Arabidopsis thaliana: one gene and its partners. The protein of the gene in region 3 interacts with the protein of the main gene of each other region in a pairwise test. Each region holds a gene or a part of one and is shown on either strand. Other genes may lie near its edges. The genes, in order: VOZ1, MYBL2, ZFP10 and NAC020.

Region 1 (9,088 bases), on a different chromosome or scaffold from region 3:
GTCAAAGAACATACTTGCGATGACTTTTAGGCAAGTTGTTTTGCGGCAGCTGTGGAACTTCCAGCTAGTGTTATTTGCACCTGGAGCTGAAAGAGAAATGGGAGATTTCGAAAACCCTCGAGAGGTTAACTTCGCTTTGATGTGAATGTTTCTAGTGATACTGGCCTTGCAAGTGGGAATTGATACTGATAGGTTCAGTTTTCTTATTCATTTGGTATCAGCAGGTTTCTACATCCTTCACTCTTAGCTCATCAGATGAACGGGTTATATCTGTTATTGCAGAAGTTATATGCATCTCCGCTCTTCAAAGCACCGAGAAGCATTTCCTCGATGATTATCTGGGAAAAGCTAAGTTTCCGTTTATGAAGTGGTTATCTAAACGCAGGAGGATTGCTTCAAGAGACTGCTCGGTTGTCCTGCATAAGTTATTTGATGATGAGCAGAATACCAAACTTTTGCTTGAGTATTACCAGTCAAGGAAGGAAAATTTCAAACTTGCAGACACAAAGCAAAGAAGCCGGTGGTGGGACTTATCTGCCAATTCCAAGTTGGAAAAAATTGGTGGCCCTGGATTTAGTAGTTGGGCAAGTGAATATTTACCCGCATATCGACTGGAAATGGATAGTACAATACTTGCAGACTTAAAGCTTGAGGGCTGGAGAAAGTCCAGTGAGAATAAGTGGGAAGTTCTTCTAACTCACTCCCAAATGGTATGACGTTTTCTCTTTATTTATGTAACCTACCCGTCTATGCTTTTGCTGTGTGTAAGACTAGAAATTGCAATGTTGCTCTCGCTCTATATATTTGTCTGGCTAGCAGTCTAGGTTGTTGCTGCTATATGATAACATGGAGCTATGTTATATTGTTCTGTTTAGTATAGATAAAGACGTCGAATGTTGTTCAAAGTTTATGGATAGACCGTCTTTAGACAATGTTGAATCCGTCATAAGAGTTGTCATTCCCATTTACCTATACACTTAACGAGATGCTGATATGTTGTGTGGGAATGAACCTAGCAAGATGAAAGAATATTATCAATCATGGGAATAAAATTTCCTGTACTGCTGCATTTTGTGTGCTCTGTGGTGACTAAGGTGTCTGTTTTTGTGCATGTTATTTCTTGAGGCCTCTACATTCCTGAGACTTGTATAAAACTCTTAGGTTGGATTAGCTGAAGCATTGGATATTTACTTTGAAGACACATATTCACTTCCCAGGAAACAGCTACCATGTGATGTTCCTGGAAATTATGCAAACTTACCCAATGAAAAGGTAATGACTACTGGACTGCTAAAATTTAGCCAATCTTTCTGATATTATACTTTGGTGTCTGTTATTGTGTATGTAATCAGAACCAATTGCCAGTCCTTGCTATATTACTGTCTGTATATAATCCGTATTCTCCATGATAATCACTTGCTCTGTCTAATTGTGTGCTTCATTACAGCTGCCTGATGAAATATGTTAAATATATTTGTAGTCTGCAGAATATATTAATGTTTACTATTAGAGTTTTTACCATTATTTTGGAGACATGTTATGAGTTAATAAGATTGGCTTCTTTGGTAGCTTTTTACCTGTCAAACTTATGTTCACTTCTTTGGTTTGCTCATTCTCTATTGACAGAAAGGATTGTCTTTGTTGAAATTCATATCTGTCACCATGGCCAGTGGAATTTTTCTTCTTGCTGTGAGTGCTGCAGCCCAATTCTGTCTTCCTCAGAAAAGCGAGAGGAAGTATCCCGGAAAACGCCAAGAGATTTTATGGTCAGAGAGTGAATTGTTATCTCATCAATCTTCAGATTCCTCTGAGGTATGGATTACCAAAACACGTTGTATTCATATAGATGTGTACGACAACAATTGCACGTAGACATTAATAGCTTTTCAGGACAGCTCTAGTTCATTTGATGATCACATAAGATTAAGTACTGGTGCAGCCTTTTTTTGTAAATCCCTTGCCATGAATAAGTTAACCCATCCAAAAAGTAAAGACAATCCAAGACCTATATATATTTCATGTCTAATGTTATTTGGTTAATAATTTTTGCATGAGTATGGACTCTCTATACTGAGAATGAGAGAATGAGATCAACCTTTTATTATTTTTTGTGGTGCTTTTTCCTGTTTTTCTCGGAAACTAAATTCTGAAACCTCAAATGAGCAGTTGGATTCATTCTGCGGATTACTCGTCAACAAGCTCAAGGATGCCTACAGCTGGGTAGGGGAGATCACACTAGAAAGCAGCATAGGTGCCTGGATAGGGGAAGTACCTGACTACTTGAAAGAAACCAGCAGAGCTAAGTCTGTTGAAGATCACATTGTTACAAGCTCGTCTCTTCTGGAAATACTCAATGAAGACGCAAAGGCATCTGCGCAAGATATCGCTACTTACCAGGTAATTCCAGTGAATTATGATGAATTGAATTCTTTTAAGTGGACTACTACTTCATCTTCGTCTGGTTCTTTAATGGAAGCAGGTAGTTTTATCATCCGAAGGTAAAATCATAGGGTTCCAACCGACAAGCCGGGTGGCTGTGAATCACTGGGCTGCTAATCCTTTAGCTAGAGAACTTTATGGAGGAAAAAAACTCAAGCCTGGTAACACACCATGGTTCTTCTTTCAATTCCTTAAATTCAATGCTATTCGTATCCTTTTAAGTTTATCTGATTATGTGTTGTGTCATTCTTTGCTTTGCAGGGCTGATTGAGCCTGGTCTTAAGAGTCACCCTCCCAAAAAAGTAGTTGTGTTGGAATTATTAATGTCTGTGAATTCAGATCGTCCTTTTGCATTGGTCAGACCATTATTGCCACAATAAGCATAGCGAAGTTCCTGTCTCTCTTTAGATGAATTTTAGTACAATATATGTAGAATATGATTTGATTGATTGCTTGTAACACTTGGCGTCTATGATATGCAAATATCTTAAGAAGAGTGAGAACGTGATTACATGATTCTTGAAACGATGCTTAAGATTTTGAAGCTCTGCAGAGAATTTTTATTAACAAAACCCCAAATCTGAAACATAGACTAAGTAAGAGCAATGATCTCATTGAACAAGGTCCTGATTCTATAAGAACAACACTGATACTCAAAACCGTATTTCCCCATCGGTTACATAATTTGTCATCTGCATTATATCGCAGAAGAGAGTCGAAAATGCATCAAAATATATAAACCGGAATGTCAGTAAATATGTCTTCACCTCCATAGACTGAATCTTAAAAAGCAGTCTCCTTCGTCACATTTACTATTCCTAACTCCAGGACAGTCTTCAGCATCCACTTCTTGTTATATATACATAATCTCCATAGATAGACAGAGAACTATTATATAAGAGAAAAAAAAGATACGAGTCATGAAAATCCATTACTTTGCCCTACGATATGTAGAAGCTTCTTCTGCTGCTGCCTAATTAAATGGTAAGCAAACAGCTTTTTAAACCTGAGTTTTTCCACATTCGTCTCAGGGGATATAATAGTCGCTTAGATTTCCGACCAGATAGTTAAACTCTTCACCTACTCCATAGTCATTTGCCTGCTCTACTGTGTTCTGAACATTCCCGGTGGCGACTTTTGTGCTCACTTTTGGTCTTCCTTTGATGCAGCGTTTGTTGTTGTTGGTGGTGTTAGTGGTATTGTTTTCTGGAGGGAACTCAGCTGTGAGTCTTCCCATCTGCTTCTGCAGATCAGCCACTGAGTCGTTTGAGACTTTGCCTTTTGAAGTCTTCTTCCCGTCAACAAGCTTGAGCTCGAGCCTGTACAAGGCACAAGCATCACACTTGTTGATCTCATATTCGTAAAGATGCCATTCGAAATGGTGCAGAGGCTGTGGATCCATGTAGTAAGATCTCTTCAGCCCTCCAAACTCGACCATGATCTGTTTACGTGACTCGTGCCAACCACGACCATTGTAGTCTGGTAAAGATCTTTGCTTTCTGTTCCCGCTCTCAAAGGCCCTCCTTGGCTTGTCAAAGAATAGCCACTCCCTTAGTGTCTCACTCTCCAGAACCGTGAGATCAAAGAGCTCTACAGTCATCAAGATTTGAGTATGATCAGCTCAAGAATGGTGATCAATTAACATACTTGTGAATGAATTCCAAGAGAGTAAAGCCTACCTGGAGCATTCCATGGAGATTTAGCAGTTGCAGCTCCTTCACATTCGGGAATACCAACATCTTTCCCTCCAGCCTTTGCACTAAGAGCAGCAAAAAGCAGACCGTCTTTTAGGCCGATACCTCCAGGACGCACCACCGGATTCATACCTGGTGGCCCTTCATTGAAAGCCAGTGCAGCGTGGAAGCTGCTGCAGTAATCCTGGAACCAATCAAATCCCTGAGCTGGCCTAGGGCAATCCCAAAGAGCACATTTTGGACCCAAGAATGCAGAGGGTGGAGGACAAATAGTCGGGATAAAATTAGAGATATGTATAGGACCCTCTACTACACCATAACTGGGACAATTGTTGAAACCACCATTGAAGTTTGGTTCAAACTCTTGTTGCAGATCATACTGCTGATGATACTCCAAAGGAGCCGTTCCATCGAAATTGTTACCAGCTGCTAAGGACAAATCTTTGCAATTATCAACCAATGGTAATCCATGTTCTGACTTCCCCTGAACCAAATTGTATCCCTGAAAACTTTCACCACGATCTCAGTATTTAAACAAAATAATGGACTCCAAACACAACTAAAGCACCATTAAAAACTGGTTCTAAAGAGCAACTCACCCTTTGGAAGACAGCAGCTTTGCCAGCTTCGAGATTCTGATCAGCAGGCTCGGGCTTGGGGGCAGCTAATTTGCTGGTAGCATCATCTTCCTCATCACAGAGCTGCAGCAGCCGACAAATATCTGATGAGAAAGACCCCAGAGTACCACCCTGCTTAAGCAAAACAAAATGACACAGCTAACAATGACTGAAACAACAAAGAAAACTAAATCACCCATGCAAGTCAGAAGAAACAACAAGATTGCAAATTTGAAACAAACGAAAGCATACTTGTTGCAAGGATGAAGCTGGAGAAGGCTCATTGAGCTCAGATTTCCACTCACGAAGCATCTGATTCACTTGCTCCTCAAGAAGAGTAACATCAGTAGGCCTACTCTCTTTCCTCGCAAACTGAAGATCCAAAAGCATGCCTTGCAAATCATCAACACGGTTCTTAGCCTTATCCTTGAAGAGCTTGTGAGAAGCAGATCTGCAATTAGTCTTTGATCGCTTCCCCGTCATAAGAAATCTCACCTCCCCACCACAAAAACACAAGATTCTCTGTACAAAACCAAAAACACATTCAAAATACACACTTCACATCAGTTCTGCTCCTATAACAAACATGATCACTCATGAATCATTGGTACATGCTTAGATTACATAAACAAAACCAAAACATTTACAGTAAATCAAAACCCAAAATCGATGAAGCAACAAAAGCCCTAGATGATCTCGAACGAAGTAGCTAAACGAAGATTAAAAGGATCATAAGTTTTAGGGATCGTCATTTTTTTACCTAATTGTCGAACTAAACAAGCAGCAAAAAACAGGTTACGAACACGAAATTGAATCATGCACAGAGTTAAAAAGAACAACAGATCGAAGTAACAAGAACAAATCGATTCTGAAGCAAAAAGCGACGCGAGATTTTGGAGTTTGAAGGAACCCAGAAAATCAAACTTACACTGTAGCTGCAGCAAAAGCAGCAAATAACAAAGGCAAAGAGAAAAATCTCCGGAAAATAAAAAGAAGAGTAATGAAGAAATGGAGAGAGTAAAAATTATGAATAAATAAAAAGAGAGAGATTATGAAGAAAAAAAAACACAAAGGAAATAAAGAAACGTTGCTGGATTCTCTTCTTCTCTTCACCCTCCACTTTTCTTTTTCCTTTTTTATGAGCTAAATTCAATGTACTAATTTATGAGAAAATATAAAAATTTAAAAATTATCAAATTGTGGGGAAATGTTTAAGGAATTTAATGATTATTTTGGAAAAAAATGCCATTTGGACTGTTTATTATGGATTCTTTTCTTTTTATTGTTCATTTTTTCTCTTTATAGCATTTATTTATATTAAGAAATATTAAATGAGCATTTAAAATTTACTATTTGTTGTGTAAATAATCTTTTTTTTTTGTTTTGTTTTCTAAACTAACCAGAGTTCAATTATGTTTTTTTTTTTTTTTTGTTGCACATATGCTTTAGAAAATTAGGCATTTTCTTCAATGCTATTGGCTCCATACACTACTTGCTCCTTATTTGAGGAAATTTAAATACTATTTGAGTTAGAAATTTAAGTTTTTCTTTAGACTATGTAATACATTAGGGAAGTCGCCAAGAATTTTTCCAAAATCAGAGTTTGGGTCACACGATTTGTAAGATATAATATAACCATGCGAATATGCGATGATAGAATTCAAGATAGGCTAAAGCTAAGCAAATTTTATACATACGAGAAAATTAAAACAAATACCAAACAAAAAAGTGTAAAAAAAGGCTTTGAAATTAAAACTACCATCCATTTTAGGGATGGAACATTTGCAAATATTAGAAAATGTTAAGACTAATGTAGTAACGCTAAAATTTGTGACATTGTATGATCATCGGGTTTAGTCCAAGTTAATGTGTATGGAGGGGAGTGGTTTGCAACTTTGCGTAGCTGTACTTGTAGTCGTAGGAAAAAAAAACTAAAAAACGATTCATGATAACATTTCTTTCGAGAATGTATATTTTGTTGATAAATTGACATAGACTTTATGATAGCATCGTAGTAGAACCACGTTAAAGATTTTGATTCAACGGCTAATTAGTGCTCAAGTCTACGACTACATGTAACGTAATTTGATAATAAAAAAGGAATATTGGAAATGTAACGTATTATATTTTCAAGATAAGTCAATTAGATTGATAACCGTAATTTTGGTTGCGCTTGACAATTGGTCATTTCTTAAAATAATTTGGACCCATTTGTTTTCTTATATCCTTTCAATGAGTTTTAACAATGAGATTGTTTGTACCTAATGTAAATTTGCATTACTTTTGGAGGAAAAAACAAACAAGCATAACAAAGGAATCTTGGGTAAAGAATTTGGACAAGTGTCGTGAATACTAAGTTATTATTATTTTCTTTTAAGATACAAGAAGGTGTAAAAGAAGGAGATATTGGCAAGGAAGGAATATAACTTAGCTTTTCTCCACTATGTTTTCCATATTCCTATCTTGTGATGCTCATCAATTTTCATCATACCATCTACTTTCAATTTCTTCAATGGTCATATTCTATCGTTCTTTATCTATTATTGCTTATTATTCTCATTTCAAATACATAATGTTCGTCGTATGAACTCTAAAAAAATATTCAAATTCAACTTTTAACTAGGTTATAAGAAATAATATCTCCACTAATTTTAAACAACCAATTCTTGACTGAGTACGATTATATATTAATCACAGTTAAACAGCCAATTATTGACAATATTTTCTTTGAGTATGCACCTTACATCTTATATATCCCTGGTTGGAATATAGATCGGTCCACCACTACACTTTATCTTTGATCCGGACCAAATTAGTGACAGTGGAGAAGTTTTTTTCCTTCTTTTTCTTTTCTTTAAGGTCTCCAAGGTGAATTCAATGTCACCATAATAGATTTCTATATCATATGTGACAAAACATCCAACTCAAATTCAAAATAAGCTAGGGATAAGAGTGGCTCAACTAGATGATGCTTAACGTCGAGCCCATACTTTAATGGTAGAAGAAAGCATGTATCCCATGTTGGAAAAAACGAACAAAATGATGTTTATCAAATTGTTACACTCTCGAGGTTAAATTATCTACGAAAATTGTATGCTTCGAAGAACATCACCATAACGATTTAACCGTCTGGTAAATTCGAAAATTTGTCCCGAATAAATATACTTAACTACTTATTACTAATGTGTGTAAATTTTTTATTCTTAAATCTCTCAAATGGGATAAATTTAGACTATGATCATTCCATGATTTTAGATCAATATAATTTATTGTTGTGCATTGGTGTAAATTTAGAATTCCAAAACTATTTTATTTAGATTTTGTTTTAACTATAACGTCTGGTAAATGTATCACTTTTTTAATATTAAATAGTAAGATAAAATCATTTAACTCTTTGTATGATTTAAATTCGAGTTATTATAAACGAAGTGTACTAAGCTAATTCATAAATTACTTTAGCTGAAGGAGTTAGCCCATTTTGATTACCACAATCTCCTAAGATTATATCACACAACATAAACTTCTACTAGCTCATCATAAGTAGCATGCGTTTTTATAAATCGATGTGTTGTCTTTTTCCTTTTTGATCGTCGTTATGAGAAAACATGATATGCTTTTATGGAATTTCTAAGCATTTGCCCAAATGATTGTTCCCCCTATAATATATTCCCTTTCTCTACCTCCAACAGCTATTCTCACTTTTTTCTTTACTAACTTTTTTCTCTCATTCTAGTATTCAGACTCTTGGTGGAATAAACCTAACGACATACCCATAGGTTCCTTTCGTCTCCAATTTAAAATGAAATCGTTTTGTGATAAAGACATTATTCTTTTGTAAGAGTTGATCGCCTTTTACCACAAAACCAAACTAGTTGTCGCTATAGTTTTGACCTTATTAGATCATGGATAAATATGATGTACATTTTGTAATCTGGAGAAAGAAGTAATTTGGTACATCTCAATGTCTCTTTCATAATGAATTCGTCATTATCCAACATTACCTAAAATCGAGCCATTGGTCTCAAAAGACCAAATCTAAGCAACAAATGTTGAAAAGACAAAACCTCAACATCAAAACTTTTTTTATTTGTCACCTAATTTGATAATTTAAAAGCAGATTGTTTTTGATGATGGATGGTACATGTATATAGAGGAGAGAATCAGAAACTCCTCAACTCTTGTGAAAAAGAATCATTACCGTATTGTTAACTTTGGTTTGAATCTTCTAGATTGAATAAGATGATGATGATGATGATTCAACTGGATTTGTCTGGTTTCCCACTAGCGGTAGTACCAGGCTGTGGTTTTAACTGGAAAATACCGCTCAGTCCTCGTGCC
Region 2 (7,561 bases), on a different chromosome or scaffold from region 3:
ACGTATATATATATATTCATTTTTTAAGAAAAATCAATACTCTTGTCATGTACATATAATATTCAAATTCTAGTTTTATAATGTAGAAGCTTACTAATTAAAAAAAAAACCATTCCTTTTTGGAAGATAAATTCTAGGAAAGTAGCGACTCAATAGTCAAGAGAATGAAAGCAAAGAACAACAAAGTTATTTGACACCACACACTCGTATGCATAAATACGCAAAACCCCAAAGAACTTCTTCAACTTCTCTCCTCAACTTTTAAGTATTCCACACATACAAACACACACACACACTTGACTTTTCTCATATAATTTCGACAGCTCGTGAAGGACAAAGACATGGAGCCTTCTCGGAGGAGAATGACCAGAGACATGTTGCTTCTAATCGTAACGATGGCATGGCTCGTAACCGGAGACGAAGGAGGCATAAAGCAAGAGGAGCGACTGTTTAATCTTGGGAAGCTTGAGATGTTCGTTGACAAGCTTCCTCATATACCAACACTTCATGGCTACCACTTCGTCAATGGCTTCCTCAAACCCAAATCTCTTCACATAGGCATGTTCTTCAAGAAATGGGTATTTAATTCTTTCCTTCTTCTCATTTTCCTTATATTCTAATTTTTGTTTCCTTGTTTTCTAATTTCTTTCCTCTATTATATATTTTCCTCTTGTTTTCTCTGTTTTCTTGAAGTTATATTTGGTATGTTATTAAATTAAATTTCCAGTCTATAGTCGTTCGTGAAAACAGATCATCTTCCATTTCTGTCATGAGGTTATAAATGGCCAAAATATTTAGATAGAAAATTCAAATAACCATCATTTAGTGATTTACACCTGTATTACATGCAAAAAAATAGACTCATTAACTTTCTTGACCAACTTAAGCCGACTAACTAATGTTGAACATTATCTCCTTAATGAAAAACATTAACATTAAATTCGATATCGTATAAGATTAGTGAAGTTAATTTGCTTTTTACTTGGCTACGGCTCTTCTTAGGTTGTAAAGTGATTAGAATAGATTCGTGTTGTGTTCACACTATTGTCCCCTCACTTGTTTGTCGTCTTTGAGAAAAAGTATTAATAATTGTATACTTTTTATCACTCGTCATGTTGAATATTATTTGCCCTTCACCGAATGAATACTCAAATTCCTCTTTGTTCATAAACTAATCTAAACTCATTAATGACAAAAATTAACATTAAATATTCGAAATCGTATAGATCAGTGAAAACTTAAGTGCTTTTTAGTTGGCTACGGCTCTTTTTTGGTAAAGTGATTTGGAATTGATTCATCTTGTGTACTCCACTCTTATCCTCTCACTTATTTGTCCTCTTGAGAAAAATATCTATTGGTTTATAGTACTGACGAATCAGTGCTCTTTTATAACTAGTCAAATTTAATATTATTTTGCTCTCCTACCGAATGAATACACATTTTTTTTATAGTTTCTATAAGCTCTTTAAGTTTTGTTCTGATAAATTATACTAAGAACATCATCAAATCTAATGATTAATTGATAGAAAGTTATTACCCACTAACTATATAATTATGATTGCTTTTCTACCACTTTGGCCTAGCTAATTGTGCTCTGTTCCTTTAAACTATTTTATTACTCTGCTAATGATTCGAATGATTTAAGTTTTTGAATTTCTCTAACTCTGTCACACACTGATATGAGTTAAATCATTGTGAAGTACAGAAATTCCACAGAGACTTGCCTGCCACGCCAGTGTTCGCATATGGTACATCAAAGCGTTCAGCAACAGTTCCTGGACCAACAATAGAAGCTGTTTATGGCGTCGACACCTACGTGACGTGGCGAAATCACCTCCCTTTACATCATATCCTCCCTTGGGACCCAACAATCTCTCCGGCAATCCCTAAACACGGCGGCATTCCCACGGTGGTTCACTTGCACGGAGGTATCCACGAACCAACTAGCGATGGAAATGCAGATTCATGGTTCACCGCTGGTTTCAAAGAAACTGGTTCCAAATGGACCAAAAAGACTACACATTACGTCAACAAGCAACAACCTGGAAACATGTGGTACCATGACCACGCGGCAGGGTTGACCAGAGTCAACCTTCTTGCCGGTTTGTTAGGCTCTTACATTCTCCGTCATAGCTCAGTCGAATCGCCTCTTCGGTTACCTACCGGACGCGAATTCGATCGTCCTTTGGTCATCTTTGACCGATCTTTTCGTAAAGATGGTTCCATTTACATGAACGCTACAGGGAACAATCCAACGATTCATCCACAATGGCAGCCAGAGTATTTCGGCGACGCCATCATTGTGAACGGTAAAGCATGGCCGAGATTAACCGTCCGCCGCCGGAAATATAGATTTCGAATCACAAACGCTAGTAACGCAAGGTTCTTCCGGTTCTTCTTCTCCAACGGTCTCGACTTCATTGTCGTTGGTTCCGATTCCGCTTATCTAGCGAAACCAGTATCGACCAAATCTGTTCTCCTAGCTCCGTCGGAGATTGTCGACGTACTCGTTGACTTTTCAAAGTCAACATCGAAAACGGCAATTCTTGCCAACAATGCACCTTATCCTTACCCGTCGGGAGATCCCGTCACGGAAGAGAACAGCAAAGTCATGAAGTTTATAATCAACTACAAATCAGAAGTTGACACGTCGATTATTCCGAAGAAGCTAATTGAATACCCTCCTGCTCATGTATCAACCTCCACACGTACACGTTACATTGCTATGTTCGAGTATGTGTCAAGCATTGACGAGCCAACACATCTATACATCAACGGTCTGCCTTACAACGCTCCCGTAACCGAAACTCCAAAAATCGGCACAAGCGAGGTATTTATAACCAAAATTTCACTATTCACTAACCGTATAGTTCAAATCTTTAATGCTTACAATAATGAAGGTGTGGGAAGTGATAAACTTAACCGAGGATAACCATCCGTTGCACATTCACTTGGGATTGTTTAAAGTATTGGAGCAAACGGCATTGGTGAAGAGTGAGGAGTTCATAGAGTGCATGACTAAAAGAAACGATGCCGTCAAGTGTGAGATTAGCAAATACGCACGAGGGAACAAGACCGCGGTTACGGTACACGAGCGGGGATGGAAAAACGTATTCAAGATGATGCCGGGACATGTAACGAAGATACTCGTTAGATTTTCTTACATTCACTCAAACGAATCTTACTCCTTTGACGCAACTCAAGAGCCAGGCTATGTTTACCACTGTCACGTAAGTTGGTAAAATACTAAAAAGTTGATGACGAATTTAGCTTTTTCTTTTAGAACTAACTGTATGATATTGGCATTGCAGATATTGGACCATGAAGACAATATGATGATGAGGCCCTTTGCAATGGTGCTATAATTCTAAAACGAAAACAATTTACAATTACGAGTGCAGAATACAAACGAGTTGATATAGATTGAGATTTCAGATTACATAAATATCTTATACAGAAAGTGTTAAAAGATAATTCGATTGGATTGATGTTATATCTCTATCATTGTTTTTCACTTGGCCTCGGAGATTAGAAGCAGCTTGTTAATGGGCTTTTAACAGTTACGGGCTTTAACGGGCCCAATAACAAAACTCTTTTGCTTCTTATATGATTTTGGAGTAGATGGTAAGTGAGATAGGGAAGTGGTGAGTGAAATTAGAAAATTCCTCGTATACAAAGTCCTAACCACCAGTCAAATTCAATTGAATGCTCCCATGTTTCTCCCTTATCTGTTCCTGAACCTACACTCTTTAATTTCATGGTTTCCTATTTTCTCTTAATTTGTTTATTTTCATGTCATATTCGGAAGCTTCAGATATTTTATCAAATAATGCATCCAAATAATTTTGAGCCACTAGTCAAATATCTTCTTCGTCTTCTTCTTGCTTAATATATATTTTAGTGAATCTATTATTGATACCACACACACATCTTTGATATTTCACAAAAGGTATCTATCGGAGCCGTACATATATTTTACGAAAATGTGGATAAGAGCGAGATTTGGATTGGTATTGGTAAGGCAAATTAAATGCGACACACTTCCACATTCATGATTCCACAAATTCTAATGGATTTGAACAAATATGGGACCAATTTTTATTTGTTTCAACTCCTAAATGTGGGACCAATTAACAAGGTTGATGTATTCTTCTTGTTCTTCCTCGTTCATTAATAGTTTGATTGAGCATGCACGCTTCTCTCAACCCACCAGTCCAAGTCAAACCTCCTCAAGCCATCCCCTAATCCTATATATCAGTTTCTTCTCGCAAACCACCTCACAATCTATCAACAGTTTTAAAAAAAGACATAACTCAACCAATCTCACTTTGAAAAAGACATGAACAAAACCCGCCTTCGTGCTCTCTCCCCACCTTCCGGTAACTATTTTCTCTTTAAACAGTATTAATCATGTGTTTTGCTATTCACATCACCAAATTATTCATAGTTTAAAGAGGTCGATGTAGAATTCATAGATATACATGTGTACATACGTGACTTTGTGACGATATATCGTTTTAATTTGTTAAATTTTGATCCCTTCTCTTAGGTATGCAACACCGTAAGAGATGTCGATTGAGAGGTCGAAACTACGTAAGGCCAGAAGTTAAACAACGCAACTTCTCAAAAGATGAAGACGATCTCATCCTCAAGCTTCATGCACTTCTTGGCAATAGGTTCGTATTCATTCTTCTTATTCTTTAATTCAATAGTAATGTGAACGGTACGTGCTAATAATCATTTTGATGTTATGTTTTTTCAGATGGTCATTGATAGCGGGAAGATTGCCAGGACGAACCGACAACGAAGTTAGGATCCATTGGGAAACTTACCTAAAAAGGAAGCTCGTAAAAATGGGAATCGACCCAACCAATCATCGTCTCCACCATCACACCAACTACATTTCTAGACGTCACCTCCATTCTTCACATAAGGAACATGAAACCAAGATTATTAGTGATCAATCTTCTTCGGTATCCGAATCATGTGGTGTAACAATTTTGCCCATTCCAAGTACCAATTGCTCGGAGGATAGTACTAGTACCGGACGAAGTCATTTGCCTGACCTAAACATTGGTCTCATCCCGGCCGTGACTTCTTTGCCAGCTCTTTGCCTTCAGGACTCTAGCGAATCCTCTACCAATGGTTCAACAGGTCAAGAAACGCTTCTTCTATTCCGATGAGAAATGGTGTATTTGTTTGTACACATTTGTTATATTACAAATGCACATATTATAATATTCACTAGAGAGATGGTATAACGATGTTTGAAATATGTTAATCCTGAATTGGACCGGCTGGTCATTGAACAACTATTCTCTTAAATGTCCGGTTCTGTTTTCAGTGATTAGTATTATAGTAGATCGTTAATAACTAACCGACGATAACCGCTGCTTATTTGATCAATCAAGCTGTAAGAAATTATAGCTAATACAGCAATGTTAACGGTGCACATTGACGGGAAGTATTAATTAACTCTCTTAAAATGGACAAGTATGTTCATTTTCCTCCAAACTACACTTTACTCTTTATTCAAAAGCAATTTCAAACTCTCGTTTCGCACAAAGGAATCTATAAATACGAAAATTACTTACTAAAGATATAAAGGAAGCAAATTAGTTAACTTATAAAATAATGAAATGTATCGATTTAAGGATGTCTTAAGCATGGAGACTATACGGTCAAATATGCACCAACTAGTACAAACACGTTCACATATATTTTGAACAAAACTCACAATGAATTTGTTTAAAGTATCTTCATACATGCTTAAAATAAAAATTAGAAAGTAAATACATTTGTACAACCGCTATTCAAACATCATCAAATATTAAACAAAATTGCATGACCAAAGAATATGAATGTTTGACAAGTATAGAAGAGGAGATTGTTTGCTAAGAAAATGGACCAATATTTATCATCGAAACTACAATCATCATTAAGGTTGTTTCTACGATTGCGGGATCTACAACCATCAAAGAAGTTGTTTCCACAACTGTATAAACTCTGATCTCACCTTCACTTTCATATTGTTCCGCAAGTACAACTACACCATAAATTTCAGAAATAACGGTGAGTATTGTGGTTAATGGAGAGTTGTGTGTGGATGTGCAAGCAAAAATCACATGCCTCATCAAACACTTCAAGGTTATTAATCTTCATCTGATTCAGACGAATACCCTCTTCTTTATGTAGATCTTTTTATTTTTGCATATGTCCAAAAATAATTATGAAACCAGCCAGTCAAACTTGCCAAAAATGTCTAAAAGATAATGTTGTCTATTTTTCAAGTTGCTATCGGTTGTTATGTAGGACGCAGAAGTCACGGGCATGGACGTCGGCCGATATGATGTGGATGTCGTGGTTGAACCTTTCTTTTGTTAAACCGAGATAACTTTTCAATACAAGACTGTCACAAACTATATGTAAGTCATGTTTATAAATTTTAATCAAAAGTATACTAAACTGTGGTAAAACAGTTTTAAGAAAATTATAGGTCCCAATTTGTATACATGCTTCAAATTATCTAAAATGTTGTTAAAATTCGATCTACCGGGTCATGTTCGACCGTTCCATTTGCAGGCTATATAATACTCACCAAAATTATGTTAATTGACATAATTTTTCTAGAACATTTTTGCTGTAAGAGATATTAAATTTTCTTACACATACAAAGTTATTTTTAAGGGAAAATAAAACATGTAAAGCTATATTTAGTTAATTACAAAGAAGATTTTTTCCATCTTTTAATAAACACTAGGGTAAGACAGATCATATACTAGAAACACATGTCAATACAATGCATCTAAAGGCCTGGAAATTTTATCTTAGTTTCTTTTCAAATAGAAAAAATAACTAATTTGACTATTTATTACCATTTAAGATTACATAAATAATACATACAGATAAATTTCATAACTCCAACATAAATTTCAACACAACTATAAAATACAATCATATAAGATCTACTTTACAACTAAGCACACAACAAACCATTTTCTTCAATAAATAGAAAAGTGGATTTTTTTATTGAATTTAAAAGTATAGTTCATTTCTATTATACAGTTTTGATCTAATATAAATGATAATAATTGATTATTTTTTTGACAACTGTATCATTTTCTCTTCAACCTCTACTTGCACCGTGAATCTCGCTCTCAATTATCTAGTTTGTTCTATTGTATTATTTAAATGTATCACATAAACTTTTATCTAAAAATATAAAGCCAGTAAACTAAAAAGAAAAGAAAAAACCATTTTTAGAGTTAGATAAAAAGTTTAAAACAAAAAACACTAAAACCAAAACGGTGTCGTAACAGCGACTTATCCTTTTTCGCCACATGGCTTCGTTGGATACATAAAAGCGATAGAGACGCATCTCTGAGTCAGAAGCGAGCCAGCGAGAGAGAGAGAGCGAGTCACAAAAATTCGAATTTTAAGCCGCCGTGTGAGACGGCGTAATGGCTGGTGGAGCTATCACTCCCGATTCTCTCATCGGTCTTATTGCTGAAATCAATGAGATTCCGGGGAATTTTGGTTTGTTTAAGAAGGATTGTTCCGA
Region 3 (7,457 bases):
TAGGGTTTAGTGGAAATAAGATTGACATTTATTTTTATTTTTATTTTTATATTTTTGCAGCTAAAGTTTACATATATTGCGATACAAATTGAGAAAGTTTATATTCGACGAATATTCCTACTCCTTTATTTTCGTTGATGAAATATATGGTTTCGAGAAAACAAATCTTCTAAAACATAGGAATGGTTTTAACTTTGAAGCATATAGGATGACTATCAGATACTGTATGACTAGAGTAATGGACCTTTGTTGACCACCAAATTTTTTTAAAAAAGTTATGGACCCTAAGCTGTTGCACATACGTATGTTATTGGGCCAAGCATGGTGGAGTGAAGGAAATGTCCAAAAATCTTAACCATAAGACTAAGAGAGTAACAAACTTGAATCAAAGGTATATTTTACTCTTTTGAGTCGTTGACAAAACATCACTTACATAACCTCACTCACATCTTTAAAACTGAGAATAAAATAAAAGAAACCAGACTGGTAAAGCGGACCAACCAAGAATTTTTGGTCTTTTCTTGTTGTCAGGATCCTCTGTAGAACTTTCGCTTACATATGTACCAGTGTACTTGTGTGTATTATATTTCTGTTAGTATTCGAAGTCTAGTTGTTGATTAGTTTCAAACAGACATATGTCGACTGGTCTTGCTATTGGGAAATAATTGATAACCAATTTTTGTCCAGTAATTGATGCATTATATTATTATCTAAAGAATCGTCCAAAATTCCGTGACACTTTAATTCTTAGAATCCAAAAAAAAATTCCCTTCACGTATTGTATATATTTGATTATTGTCATATTTGAATTATTAATTTAACTATTGAAATATGTGAGTTACAGAGAATGAGATTCATTCCCCATGTGGAAGCTCTGCTTTTATTCGAAGACTTCACTTCCACCTATGTATTGTTATATACAGAGAAGACCACTTCATTATATTTATAGCAATCTAAAGAGCGTATCTAACTAATAACCAAACCCTAGCTAGGTAAACCAAGAATTAGTTGATAGCTTTGAAGTTTATGCCAATGGGTTCATGAACGAATCGAAAAACATTCAAGAGAAAATATCTGTTTTTAAATTCTTTTCAAAATCAACTTGCACAAAAAGAAGAAAGTTTCTATGTTATTTCACTGTATCATTTCTTAGAATCTCATACAACATATATATTTTACACTATAAAATCATATCAAATCAAATCACTAAGAGACTATACTAATTGTTTTTCATTTTTAGACTTCTAGTAAAATCTCACTAATAGATTAGCTCCAAAATTCTTTAGACAAGTAGATATATCATATATACTTGCCCGTATATGCATCTATATATAGTTTCCCCTATAAAGCTCACCACCTTATTTAATGTACTACGTAGTGGGATTGGGAAGCAACTTGGGTAAACATTTTCCACTAATGTAAAAACTTTCACTTATTGTATTCAAAAAGTTTTTTTGGTTGTATCAATAGAAACCGGATGGTTGATAGAAATTAAGAATGAAAATACTATGGTTTATGTAATGTAAATGTGTAATATATAATTAAGTATAAACAGATTCTTCCAATGCGTTATGGGTTTTTGATATATAGAAACAGTGCAAACCTAGTTTACAGATACGATATGAAAATTTATAGATTAAGTTAAGTCTAAGCGATAGAAGAGTTGGTAACCCATGGGGCTAAAAAGTTAGGGTAGAGACTCTAAATGGTTGGAGTAGTATATAATTTTATTCTATTCAATTATCTATTGAGACAAAACAAGCGAAAGGGAATATGTGTTGTGACATATTTGGATTTTTGTGCTCTTTCTTATGCTTATTTTTATGATTTTGACAGAATGGCATGTTACGTACTGAGATGCGAATGTATGTGGAAACGAGCTTATAACGACGTTTAACAACGAGGAATTAGTCATTATTAAACTATTTCCTTATTGTTTTACAAAATTAGTTACGAACTTATTTGCCAGAGTTCCTGCAATTATGATAGGAAAAAGAACAATAATTAGTTGCTTCCGAGTTTTTCTACTTTACGTAAATATTAATTATATTATAGCTATCGAAATTCCTTTAATAAATTACTAACTAAGATCTATGGGAGAATTATTCATCATTCGATCTCTTTCTTGGAAATTGTGACAGAAAATATTCCATCTTCATGTGATTTTATTTTGGATTGTTGTTACACAACATGCTTCAAATCACTCAAGGAAGTATAGACGTGTCAATACTTTTTTTTTAATTTTTAACCAAGAGGTTTCGGACTTAAGAGTTATTAAGACCCCGTATTCTTATTATGGAAACCATAACAACTTAGTTAGTCATTTTTCCGGTAAGATTCGAATTAAGCTGAGATTTTAAAGCGCATTTAAACGATCGCCTAGGTAGTGAAGCTGGGCTATACAAAATACTTTGCTCTTGTTTATATATACAAAAGTATTTTGCTCGTTTTCATGGTTTCGTATTTTCATGTACATTATCATTTCAAATACTACTATTACTAAATAATATACTACAGAGTTCATATAGTCATTTGCATATCCAAGCTAAATCATATATATCGAAAACTTTACCCAGAAAATGAATCATAATATGGGCTCATCTGACCCCATTAACCAATCTTTATTTTTTTCTCTGTGAATAGATATCTCAACGTCGTAAACTAGAAGCTGAGAAATGAATGGTATGTGGTAGCATATGTATGATTCACTCCTGGAAACATTGTCTAAACATGTACTACTAATTATAACAAAATGACTTAGGGTGTCAATATACCTAATTGTATATGAAATTTTGTTCTCAAGCCTCAAGTGTACATACATATACTACTCAATACTTCCTTTAGATTTTTCCATTTTTTTTTAGCTGAACTTTTCATACAATTTATCCCCCAAAATAAAACAATAGAAATAAAACCCAAAAATCAATCATCAGTACATTTTAGACACACAAAACGAAGGAACGATAAATCCAAGTACACACATACACATTCACATACATACCATATGAAATGTGTTATTTTGTCTCACCATATGAAATGTTACTATTTATATATATCTTCCCTTTACCTTTGTTTTGGTAGAGATTCATCGGTCCATCAATCAAATTCCTTTTGGTGGATCAGTCCCTAGCCTAAGCTCAAGATCTAAATCCTCAAAGCGATCACCTTTGTGTTTGCTTTCCTCGTTTCTTGTAATTATGTCACTCTTACAAGATAAACTTGAAATGAAAATCGACTGCTGCGACGGACTCTCATGTCTTCGTCTTCTTTTACGGATATCCACCCTACCAATCTCTTCATCGCTACCGTGAGCAGTAATCGGAAAACTTTGGTGGATGACCAGATTCATACTCACCGAGAGATCAGTGGTGTTTCCAAGACTAAGTTTTGCTTTATGCCCGATTTTTGGCACATCACTCTCAGTCTTTCTCTTCTTTTCTCCTTCCATAGCCGGAATTTCATATAGATCACAACTCTTTTGCTCCACAACAGTACTTGGGCACGACCATGGGGAAGAAGAGGGAATATATTTAGAGTTCTTGGAAGGTTCTACAACGAAAGAAGGAGGAGAAGAAGAAGTATGTTGCTTTCCAGGCAAACCAGAAGAAACCCTAGAAGGAGTCAAATATGGTAAAGAAGAAGACGAAGAAAGATCAATAACACAAGAGTGTTGAGTCTTAAAATAATTAGGTTTGGTGTTAAAAACCAAAGTATAGCAAGAGGTTTCATGAATATTATCGCTATCTTTATGAGATGGATACTCTGGAGACGAAGAAGATTTGGGGAATAAGTATTGGTCGTCGGCTTGCTTAAGCCGTGCTCTGTCTCTTCGGTGAACGTTCATATGGCCACCGAGGGCTTGAGCCGATTTAAATTCTCTCCGGCAGAAGCTACACGTATAAGATCTTGGCGGCCACAAAGATCCGGCGGCATCGTCTTCTGCAAAGGCCAGCTCTTCCCAAGATGACTCTTTGTTGCTTTTCTTGGGGATCCAGAAGCCACCAGGTTTCTCCATTGTATATGACAATATTGATCAGAAGTTGACGATACAAACCCTAGAATAAACCTTTCTTCTTCCTTTTTTTCTTGGTTGGTTAGAGGAACCCTAGATGATTAATATTAGGTGGTGGATTACGGAAGAGATCAAGAATGGTGTAATGAAAATAATGGAGGTCAAGATGTTTTATATAAAAAGAAATTAAAACCAAAACGAGTGGAGGTTTTTTAACGATCAAAGGAATTATAGTTTATTTAATTAATTAATTGGGAAATAATAATAATAATAATAATTGGACCGTAGGGATTTTATGAAGAAAAAGATGACACGAACTTTGGATTTTAGTAAAAGTTAGCGGACTGATCTAAATCTTTTATGTTTGCTTGTTCCAAGTGGCTACCCGCAAATGAACGTAATATTTTTCCTTGAATATACAGTAATTTATAGTATTGTAATTAATGTAGTACATATATCTGTTTTAATTTTTTTTTGAAACCAATTATAAATATCCTCACGGTAAAATGGATTATATATATATATATATATATATTTGCTAAATGAAATATCATTTCAAGAATTTAGTTTATTAGAAATATTTTATTAAATGAAATATAATAGTTTATTATTAAACTAAATTGTTTCATTTAACCAAAATATTTTCTATGATGCTATTTCATCCCTGATTTTTGTGATTATGGATATATTGTTAACTTTATAACAAAACAAGAGAATTCAAGGGACTGAAACGTTTTATGACTTTTAAATGGATGACTATATACAATGGCTGATCCAAAAAAACAATTTTGGGTAAGGCATATTCAGTGAGCTCTAGGCTTAGCGCCATATATGTTACATCAAAATTTATTTTGTAGAGTAAAAAGCTTTTTAGAACAAAAAAACAACACCTTAATTTATGTCTATTTTCGTTGTAAATGTGTAATATATAATACATTTAATGAATTACAACAAATGGTAAAACTCATGCTGATAAAATACTGCAAACTAGTTCATAATCGAACTCAATAGAAAATAGAAAAAAGAATTTATACTTTTGTAAAAAAAAAATGCTACTTTGTTTTTCTGTTGTATCGGTAAAGATGAGAACAACACTGACCAAGCGAGGTTTTGGGCTTTAACCATACAAGGCCCACATGAATACAAAGTATAGAGTTTAGTTGTCCACTAAAAACCTAGTTCTATAAGGAGATTATTGCCTTGAGAACAAAATGATTTTATTCCCAATGAACAAGCAAACAAGAAGTTCAATATTTTCTTGTCGAACTTTTTGTCTTCATACCTTTACAATAAAGTGATTAACTCATTACAAATAAATTGTGAGGAATACTAGAAACTTGGATTTATTGACATGATGTTTATTGTTTTAGACATTTTATCTTCATTTGTAACATCGTGATAATGACACATGTTCTAGTTTTTTTTTTTTTTTTTTTTTGGACAAACAGATGTTCTAGTTTTATCTATCAAATTTGAGGAGAAAATATTTTAGTGTTACAAAAATATATAGAAAGGTCTTTTGTTTTTCAATGTTACTGTTAACCTTAAAGTCAAGTTTCAATCAGATAAAGAACTATATGATATAATCACAGTCATCATACAGGCAGATGAAGATAACCATTAAATCAAGACGATAGTCAATCATACTCAATTGGCTTCTTCAATACCAACGGATTAATTAATTCCTCAATAGCTAATATATATCTTTTTAATATTTTGACTATACCCAAATAGTTTAGTGGGCACAATTTCGTAACCTTCTCTTATTTTTTTACACCTCAAACAGTCAAACGTCATCATATATATAACAAATCTTTTGACATCATACGTTATTTTCTATAATAATCCAAACACATCCCCCACCTTTATAAATATATTATGATACACTTCCCATTATTCAAAGATTTTATAGCACAATTTTGTTTTTTAAAAGCAATTAATTAACTACTATAGTATACTTTACTAACAACATTTGAAAAAATATACAAAAATTAAAATTTTATCATTATCAAAGCAGTCCAGCTGCATACCATTATCAAAATTGGATGTGGATAAACTTAATTTGATAAATTTCTGTATAACTTAACAAATATTAAATATGTGTTAATAGTTATGTCAACTTATGTTGAAGATAAATCCATTGGACCGGCCGTGGTTTTTATATTAGTTTGAATGTAGCTTTCAGATTCTTCCTATACCCAAATTTCACATTCAAAGGTTGCTTATCTTTTTAACATTCAAACTCATTTAATATTTAAATACACTAACTAATGACGTGAGAAAACTTATGGATGCAGCAACAAATCATAAGACGCCACGTGACAATCTTGATCGCTCTATAAAAAACCAAACCTGCTCTTCTTTGGTCGCTACAGCAAAAATAACAATAAACAAGATAAATGGAGGGTCTAATTCCGTTAGTATACAAAGCCGTCATGCAAATCCGTTACGGTAACGAGTCGCAGCAACTTTCTTCTTCTTACTACGTTCGTCTTCCCGGTGATTCGGGTCGGTTTGTAAGATCCGATTTAGATGTATCGGGTCCTGGATCTAATTCCTCCAATAGGGCGTCGTCGTCGACAAGCACAACTACGTTTGCTGTTTACGCGGGAGTCCAGTCACCTGTTTCTCGTCAGGTTGTCACGTGATTCACACGCGCTTTTTGAAGGAACCTGAAGTTGCGTGTGAGGGAAGGGTTCGTGACTTTTGTTTTGTGCGTTTTTTTTTTGTAAGTTAGGCTTGGACCGGTTTAATAAACCTGATGTAATAATTCGGTTTGGAAAATTGATTTCTCTAAGCGTAGACTTTAACCCAAAAGGGTGGTCTCGTGGCTTTTGATTTGTCAATTGTGTGTTTTCTTTTAATTGTATAAAGTTTCTATGAATATATTTAGTTTATTCGAGAACAATTGTATGAAATGTTTAGTTAATGTTTTCATGGTATATAGGTTGTAAAACAGGTTAATTACGTTACAATTTCCTAGTTTTGGTATTAATATGCAAAAATGACATAATATCAAACTTTTAAGTAAATTGATATTTTTCACTAATGTTAATAATGAAACCAACTAACAAAAAAAAAAAAGAACAAACCAATTTCTATTTGTTTAAGACTTTGACAGTACATCACTTTTAGAAATAAATGCCATAATTATGTTATGTGCACACTGCAAAAGAAAATGAATACGCACAATTGACTATAAAGAAAACGCCTTTAGTGGCCATACGATTTTTAGCATTTTATGCGGAAGAAACAAAGTGCTATTTCTCCGAGTTACGTATGTTTCTTTTCTTCTGCATCTAGTTTTTTTTTTGCATATTCATCACCTTCTCTCAGTTTTCTTCTTTCAATAGAATTATCCAGAAAACTTTTAAGAGATGGCAGCTCCGATTCGATTCTTTGAACTGAACACTGGTGCCAAGTTACCTTGCGTCGGTCTAGGAAC
Region 4 (7,444 bases), on a different chromosome or scaffold from region 3:
ACAAATTGTTATTGAAAAACTAGCAAGTCCAGAGAGAATTTGATCCAATTCGAATAAGACAGAAGAGTCAACGATAAGCCATAATGAATAATCGGAAGAAGATAGCGAAGGGAAGATGATAAATACACTTGGGTCGCTTTGAATTCTTCCTAGCGGCGGAAGAATCTCCCGATCCGGCTGCCCCCGCGCTGGACGACGCCGTATTGGAACTCATGGCGGAGAAAACGACGATTACTAAGCCAAGCCTTGAGGGGATTATTCCGGAATCTAAGGAGACCGAGATCGGAGGAAAAGGTGAATCGGACAGAGAGAAATCGGGAAGAGAAAGTAAAATGAAGAGGAAGAAGAAGAACAAGGGGAAGACGAAGATTCGTCGTCGTTAACAGAAAGAACCGGTATTATTCCCATATTGACGTCAAAATGAAAGGCCCACTTTGTGGGCTTTATAATGGGCTTTACTCTATTTTGTTGAGTTGAAGCCCAAAATCTCCCATGCATCATAAAATGTTTTTAAGTTCTACAAATTTTTTGATTTGGAACGTTTTTCCTTCAAATATTGGATACAGTAAAACCTCTATAAATTAATAATGTTCGGACTGCAAAATTTTATTAATTTAGAGGGGTTTTAATTTATCGATAATTTAATATTTATTAATTAATAGAAAATTTTTCCTAATTTAGTAACTTTTCAAAAATTTGTATAAGATTTTTTTTCATTATAGAAAATATCTTTCAAGAATCAATTACAAGTAAAAAATAATATCATATTTAGAAAATAACACCAAAAGTTTTTGATATAGTAAAATACTAAAACTATATTTCAAATAAGGATAAATACAAATTTAAGCAAACAAATATTAGAATTATATTTCAAAGAAATTTCTTACATATAATGTATATATATAATTGATACATTTAAATAATTATTAATTTATGATATTGATGAGACCATATATTTATATAGGATTTTCAAAAAAATTATTATCTTATTAATTTATCGATTTGTGTCACTTTTTATACTGATCCCAACTCGGAACCAAAAACATTTCTTAATTTATAGAGATTATTAATTTATCGAGTATTAATTTATAGAGGTTTTACTAGAGTTTATACTTTAGAGGATGGGATTATGATCAGTGTTAATTGATGAATACAAAATTTAAAAAGTTTAGTATGTTTTATTGCAAGTTTATGCATATACGATCATGTTGAATTTCAAACGAACAAATTATTATCTTATTATATGTTTGGATTTGAAACTGCAATATATATATATATATATATATATATATTTTAAAGATTCATTTATAGTAAGATTGTTTTAGGGATAGTATAATAAGAATGATTAAATAATCTTGCATTTGAGAGAGATCAATGTATGACCTAGACAAAAACGATGATTCGTCTTCAAGTGAAAACTATTAGACCACTATCACTTGGTTAAATTAAATTAAAAGTATCATAAACTAGAGATTTCTTCATGATAATGTTGTTTGTATCTTCCAAATCAATCACAAACTATATATAGTATCATAAACTCGAGATGTCTTTAATCATTGTCTTGTAATTCTCATCTTTTTTAATAAAGAATTTATTTTGTTTGTAGTGAAATTTGTCTCGATTTTTCTCTCTTCTTTGTTTTCAGCTTCTTTTCTTGAGAATTTTTTCTTTATTCATTCAGATTTTAAAACTTTTGTTTCATATTCATAACACATATATATAGTTAAATAAGATATTGATCCGCAGTCGGACATATATAATCCGAAAAGTTTTCCAAATTTGCGTTGCCATGACGCCCATGCCAGATTTTAAGTCTACAAGTATGCAAACCAATAAGTAATGTCGATCGATTACACAATTTTTACTTCCGTTTTCCCTCCTATATATGACAAAACCAACCAACTCTAGTGATTAAGTACCATACACACCTAATGATAAAAATTAAAATAAAATAATGCAATTTCTTTTTGTGGTAGAAAAAATAATTCCACAAACCTCCTCACCCTTTTTCACCAGTCAAACTAATTCATAAGCAAAAAACAAGTAAAAAAAAAAATACTATATATGAAGTACCCGAGTATATTTAAATAAGTTGAGAAAAGAAGTACTAGATGATAGTATGAGATATGGATTTATCAAAGGGAAGCGGGGAAAGTGGCGGAAGAAGAGAAGATTTCGTCAAGTGTCCCGTTCATAGAGTCTCTGCATTGAAAGTCTTGTTGGATTGACATAATCTCTGCTTCGTTCATAGAAAGTTGAGGGAAATCTTGGAGTTGAAGAGGAGGATGATATGGAAGCTGATGAGAATAGTTTGAGAAAAGATGATCATGATCGTCCAGAAGAGAAGATGAGAAATGAAGAGCAAATATGGATGAGCTGTTTGCTTCGTCTAAAAGGACCCCTTGAGTTAGCTCTGATGAAGATGTCTCCGCGGATGCTCTTTTCAAGCTCTCGTCTTCAATATAATTACCATCACATTTTCTCCACTTCTTCTCCTTTTCTTCTTCCTCTTCTTTTCCTACACTAGTGCTCTCTTCTTCTGCTTCTTCTTCTTCCCCTTTTCTCTTTGGAATTTGTATGTTCTTCTTAAACACTCGGCACAATGCATACGACTCCTGTTTTAGATCAACATTAATATTAGTCGATATGGTTTATCAAAAAAAAAAAAATTAGATCAGAAATGAATATAGATATATATGTTAATAGAAGTTTGTGCATGGGAAATAATTTACCTTCAAGGAGGAGGAAGGAGCGTGCGTGAGACGATATTCATGCATGACCCAATTAGTACGAAGGCCATGAGGAGCCCTTCCTCTATAATAAACCAGTGTCTTCTTCATTCCCATCTTCATCTTCTTTGATTCTACTGTACGATCTTTCCCCGTGGCCTTCCAGTAACCCGCTCGGGTCGCACGGTTCGTCCTAGAGCCATTTGGATACTTCTTATCCCTTGTGCTGTAAAAGTACCATTCCATGTCGTTTCCCGGCAAAAATGACTTTTCTGTTCCGCGTATTATCCAAATAAATAACTCATAAAACCTCCAATATCATATGTATGAATGCATCATGACCAATATATGTAATCTATAACGTCAGATTGACATAAACAAGCTGAACCATATATAGAGAGAGATATAAAGAGTTGGATCGTACCAGGCAAGTCCCATGGCTCGCATTTATAAAGATCAACTTCTGGGATGATCTCGAGCTCAATGGCTTGGCCGTTGACCTTCCTATCAAGATAGTAAGCCACCAGTTCTTCATCAGTGGGATGAAACCTGAATCCTGGAGGCAAACTCATGGGCGCCATTCAAAGTGTATGCGTTAGAAAACGAGAGAGAAAGAGATGAGAGAGATTAATTAAAGTGATTAGGATGTTCGTACGACATATGAAGGTGACTATATATAATTAAAAAGATGAGACTCTGAAGAAGATATGATATGGGAATGTGTAAAAGTATGCCATGGGATTGGCATCTTCTGAGATTAATATTTTGTCTTACTTTGGGTTGCTTTTTGGTCAGTGTTTGTCATGATACTCATCACACATATTTTCTAAAACCAATATATATATTTTAAATAAAAACCTAACTCTGGCTTTTGAAGATTCTGCAAGTGTGAAAACCCTAGTAGGAGGAGAGACGGAAAAAGCTTTAGCAAGAAGGCCCCATCTCACAAATACTCACATATATGAATGTATATGCTTATAATTCCGGTTAGACCTTAACGTGGGTCATGAATCATTATAGAGGGATTTTTATAACGTTTGCTTTAAACCAAAAATGAAGGCTTTTTATGATTCAACAGTTTAGGGGACCCATCTCTTCTTCTCAAACCAAATCTACCTGGCGACACCTAAACACTCGGCTTTTTCTTTTCTTTTTTTTTCGGTTTGACAGTTTTGTTATATTGTTTTATGTTGTTATGGTCTTATAATAAGAATACTTATAAATTGAATTCATATATATGATTAAAAAATGGGAGAATAAAAAAGCAGGAGGCATCCAAGTCGACTTTGGCTTTAGTGTTGGGAGGCTTCTTTAGTCCCTTTTACATATGGATTAAAGACGTTGTTCGGCTCTTTTACATCATTACTCCCACACAATCTTTGACTCTCTTTCTCTCGGCCCTTCAATTTTACTAACTTCCGGTCAAATCTCTTTTGCCTCGACTCTCGGCCTCGATCCAAAAGATAAATTAAAAAAATAAGGACATCTTCATTCTTCACATGTATGATATATATAACTCATGTCATATATTAGATGTCTCGTTTACATGGTTTTTTTTCGTTTGCTAATATATATAATTCACATGTAGACGAAGAACATTGTAAACGGAATTTAACAGAATGAAGTAATCAAACGTTTTATGTAAGGAAATGATCAAATACTGAGGGAGTCCACAAGTTGCGACATATATAAAACTCCTCCATTCTTATAAAGTATAATATTCAAACTTCAAGTAAGTAACTCTCCCTTTTCCGTGAGAAAGAAATAACAATAACATTTTAGGGAAGCTTTAAGATGTGGTCACCAATAACTTAGGGAGAGAGAGAGAGAGTGACAGATACAAAAAACAAAAGATAGCAACTGAAAAATATTTTGGCGAAAGATGCTTTAACAGTTTAACTTATCAAACGACAACAACAAGACATGCCCCAATTGTTTCACCACTTTGTTTTTCTTGGTCACAAATCGAGTCTAAGTCTATATGAACAAGTAATTAATGTGAGTACTATATATAAAAAAAAATGTGACTATATATATAAATGTTGTATCACAAATGCAAAAGGAATGTGGATTAATTAATTAATAAAGACAACGAGGAAGCTAACATGCAAGCCTAACTAAAGACATGCAACCTTTGATACGATCTAAGGGGAAGCGAATAAAGCTAATTAAGATCTAAGCATCTTATCTTATCAACCCTTTTATATTTCCATTTCACATGTATCAAGTACCTATACTCTTTCTCAAGCTTATAGTATTGATATCTAGAGTATCAAATAAACATTAATTAATTAGACGTAACACAATAGTGACATTATTAAATGAATAGTAAACAAACTTTACGTGTATATATATCCATGACGAAATTGGCAAAGGCGGGACTCTATGGGGGAATCATGATAATACATACATACGATATACATGTTGACATGTATCATGTATCATGATAATACATACATCATCCCTTTTTTGTTGGTTTGTTAATAAAATGATCATACATCATCTTAAACATCAACATCAATCACAATTCTTCTAAAAGAGAAGAAGAGTCTTGTTCAGAAAAAGTAGCATCTGATTCCCTACATGTCGGTTTCCAAAACATATTTTTTTTCCATCTCATATTAGTTTGTGCTAAACAAACTGATCCAAGGAAAAAAGAAAAGCCTTTAAATAATACAAGTTGGAATCCCTGTGTCTCTAGAGATTCTTGCTTTCATGTTTTTTCACGCATCTCAATTATAGCAGAAGAACAATGTCACTGTCCAAAAACATTTGCGTTATTTGCCTTTTGCTTTTCTCCATGCATTAAATCTCATTTCTACCCTTGTTAAAGTGGTCACACTCATTACTCTTTTTAATATACTAATCCTACAGGACCACCTCGTGATTGTTATCTCAAATTTTGATTAATTATTCAATCAATTAGCCAAAGCAGATCTTCTTCAATTTTAAGATTTTGATGATTACTGTTAAAGCTGACTATCACTGCGGGGAATTCAAAGATGATGCTAGTATACAAAAAGAGAAGCATGGTTTCAAATTGCAGAATCAGGCCCATATATAAGTGGGCTTGATTATTTGGGCTTTTGGAAGAGTGTGGCCCAACATAGAGATATAGAGCTGTTATCGTCTGTCTTTCATGGCGGAGCAGAGGTGATCGTTTCACTATTCAATTTCACTCGTCGATCATTACCAACCTCTGCGGGCAAAGATGGAATTCGAGAAGATCAAGGTGATCAATCCCGTTGTTGAAATGGATGGTAAGTGTTCGAACAGTCAATTAGCTCAAATCTATGATTACGATTATGGGTTTCTCGTTACTCTGATTGATTGATTTGCTTATATTGGAGTATATGTGATCGGCTCTGTTCCGGGTTTTTCTTTTCTTCTATATGTTATAGTTTTATGAAATAAATTCAGAAACTTGACTCTTTATTTATTCTCTGTGCACAAGCAGGAGACGAAATGACTCGAGTTATCTGGAAATTCATCAAAGACAAGGTAAAAATCTTAACTTTTTTTTAAATCTTTAATCACAGATTGAATTCTTTTTGTGATTAAAATCTTGAGAATTTTGCAGCTTATTTTCCCTTTCCTGGAGCTGGATATCAAATACTTTGATCTTGGACTGCCTAACCGCGATTTCACTGATGATAAGGTTACTATAGAGACTGCTGAAGCTACTTTAAAGTATGTCGTCTTTACATTTTATACTTAGATATCATATTCTCCATGCTTTCTGCTTCTAGTGTTGAGGTTGTTCTGTGAATAAAGCTTGTTCATGGCTATTGGTTTCAGAATATATTGTCTGCCTTAAAGTTTTTTTCTTTTCTTTTCTTGTGTGAAGGTATAATGTGGCTATTAAGTGTGCGACGATTACTCCGGGTATGTATTCTTAAACCTTTGCAATTTTTAATTTAAAAGTGTGCTTCTTTCACTTACTAACAACAGTTTTTGCTTTCAACGACAGATGAAGCTCGTGTTAGGGAGTTCGGCTTAAAGAAAATGTGGAGGAGTCCTAATGGAACTATAAGGAACATTTTAAACGGTCAGTTTCTTCGCCAAAAAAGGGGGCAATTCCTTCTTCAATTCCTAAGCTCTAAGATCATGTTGTTATTTTTATGCAGGCACAGTTTTCAGGGAACCTATCATTTGCAGAAACATCCCTCGTCTTGTTCCAGGTTTGTCAATGGCTGCTCTTTTTGTATGAGTTAGCCATTTTCTGTACCTTTAACATGTAGAGCAAAACAAATCCCTCTGATTTCATTTCCTCAGGATGGACGAAGCCAATCTGTATTGGAAGGCATGCTTTTGGTGATCAGTATAGAGCCACTGATCTCATTGTCAATGAACCAGGAAAACTGAAACTAGTTTTTGGTAATCTCCTCCTCCCGTTCTGGATCTGTCTAACCCTTCAATTAAATTGTTCATTATAGAGAATAATGGGGGATCATTGTCATTGAATTCACCTACCTGTGGAAGTTTATTTATACACGTTAAAAATCATATCTTACATATGCAGAGCCAAGTGGATCTTCTCAGAAAACAGAATTCGAAGTCTTCAATTTCACCGGTGGAGGTGTTGCTTTAGCCATGTATAACACTGATGAGGTAGATATTATTGAAATAGTCCTCTCCTTCATGTCTGCACTATCTGAATACACTTACAGAGTATCTATTGATATGGTGGTCCGATTTCATTTTTGAACAGTCTA

The links.
Region 1: the proteins of ZFP10 (region 3) and VOZ1 interact in a two-hybrid assay, tested with the Arabidopsis thaliana proteins (one large-scale study listed by BioGRID).
Region 2: the proteins of ZFP10 (region 3) and MYBL2 interact in a two-hybrid assay, tested with the Arabidopsis thaliana proteins (one large-scale study listed by BioGRID).
Region 4: the proteins of ZFP10 (region 3) and NAC020 interact in a two-hybrid assay, tested with the Arabidopsis thaliana proteins (one large-scale study listed by BioGRID).

What each region holds. Positions count from the first base shown.
Region 1 is NC_003070.9:10,025,858-10,034,945, reverse strand, and holds VOZ1 (vascular plant one zinc finger protein), read right to left. Parts: upstream 5,864-9,088; 5' UTR 5,679-5,863; exon of another isoform or gene 5,273-5,678; 5' UTR 5,234-5,272; coding exon 5,003-5,233; intron 4,883-5,002; coding exon 4,733-4,882; intron 4,636-4,732; coding exon 4,119-4,635; intron 4,030-4,118; coding exon 3,467-4,029; 3' UTR 2,956-3,466; downstream 1-2,955. Other genes in the region: AT1G28530 (deneddylase), read left to right, coding at 1-124, 222-710, 1,162-1,272, 1,627-1,812, 2,167-2,397, 2,480-2,600, 2,701-2,819; AT1G28510 (Optic atrophy 3 protein (OPA3)), read right to left, coding at 9,007-9,088. UniProt on the Arabidopsis thaliana protein: Transcriptional activator acting positively in the phytochrome B signaling pathway. Functions redundantly with VOZ2 to promote flowering downstream of phytochrome B (phyB). Down-regulates 'FLOWERING LOCUS C' (FLC) and up-regulates 'FLOWERING LOCUS T' (FT).
Region 2 is NC_003070.9:26,793,005-26,800,565, reverse strand, and holds MYBL2 (MYB-like 2), read left to right. Parts: upstream 1-4,036; 5' UTR 4,037-4,339; coding exon 4,340-4,379; exon of another isoform or gene 4,380-4,549; coding exon 4,550-4,676; intron 4,677-4,762; coding exon 4,763-5,183; 3' UTR 5,184-5,514; downstream 5,515-7,561. Other genes in the region: LPR2 (Cupredoxin superfamily protein), read left to right, coding at 342-578, 1,706-2,830, 2,901-3,230, 3,312-3,365; AT1G71020 (ARM repeat superfamily protein), read left to right, coding at 7,461-7,561.
Region 3 is NC_003071.7:15,824,606-15,832,062, forward strand, and holds ZFP10 (zinc-finger protein 10), read right to left. Parts: upstream 4,180-7,457; 5' UTR 4,016-4,179; coding exon 3,101-4,015; 3' UTR 2,811-3,100; downstream 1-2,810. Other genes in the region: AT2G37750 (uncharacterized protein), read left to right, coding at 6,412-6,660; AKR4C8 (NAD(P)-linked oxidoreductase superfamily protein), read left to right, coding at 7,390-7,457.
Region 4 is NC_003070.9:20,277,580-20,285,023, forward strand, and holds NAC020 (NAC domain containing protein 20), read right to left. Parts: upstream 3,374-7,444; 5' UTR 3,311-3,373; coding exon 3,154-3,310; intron 3,002-3,153; coding exon 2,733-3,001; intron 2,616-2,732; coding exon 2,136-2,615; 3' UTR 1,928-2,135; downstream 1-1,927. Other genes in the region: AT1G54320 (LEM3 (ligand-effect modulator 3) family protein / CDC50 family protein), read right to left, coding at 127-214; ICDH (isocitrate dehydrogenase), read left to right, coding at 5,941-5,989, 6,187-6,230, 6,310-6,419, 6,577-6,614, 6,700-6,777, 6,857-6,910, 7,005-7,106, 7,252-7,340 and 1 more.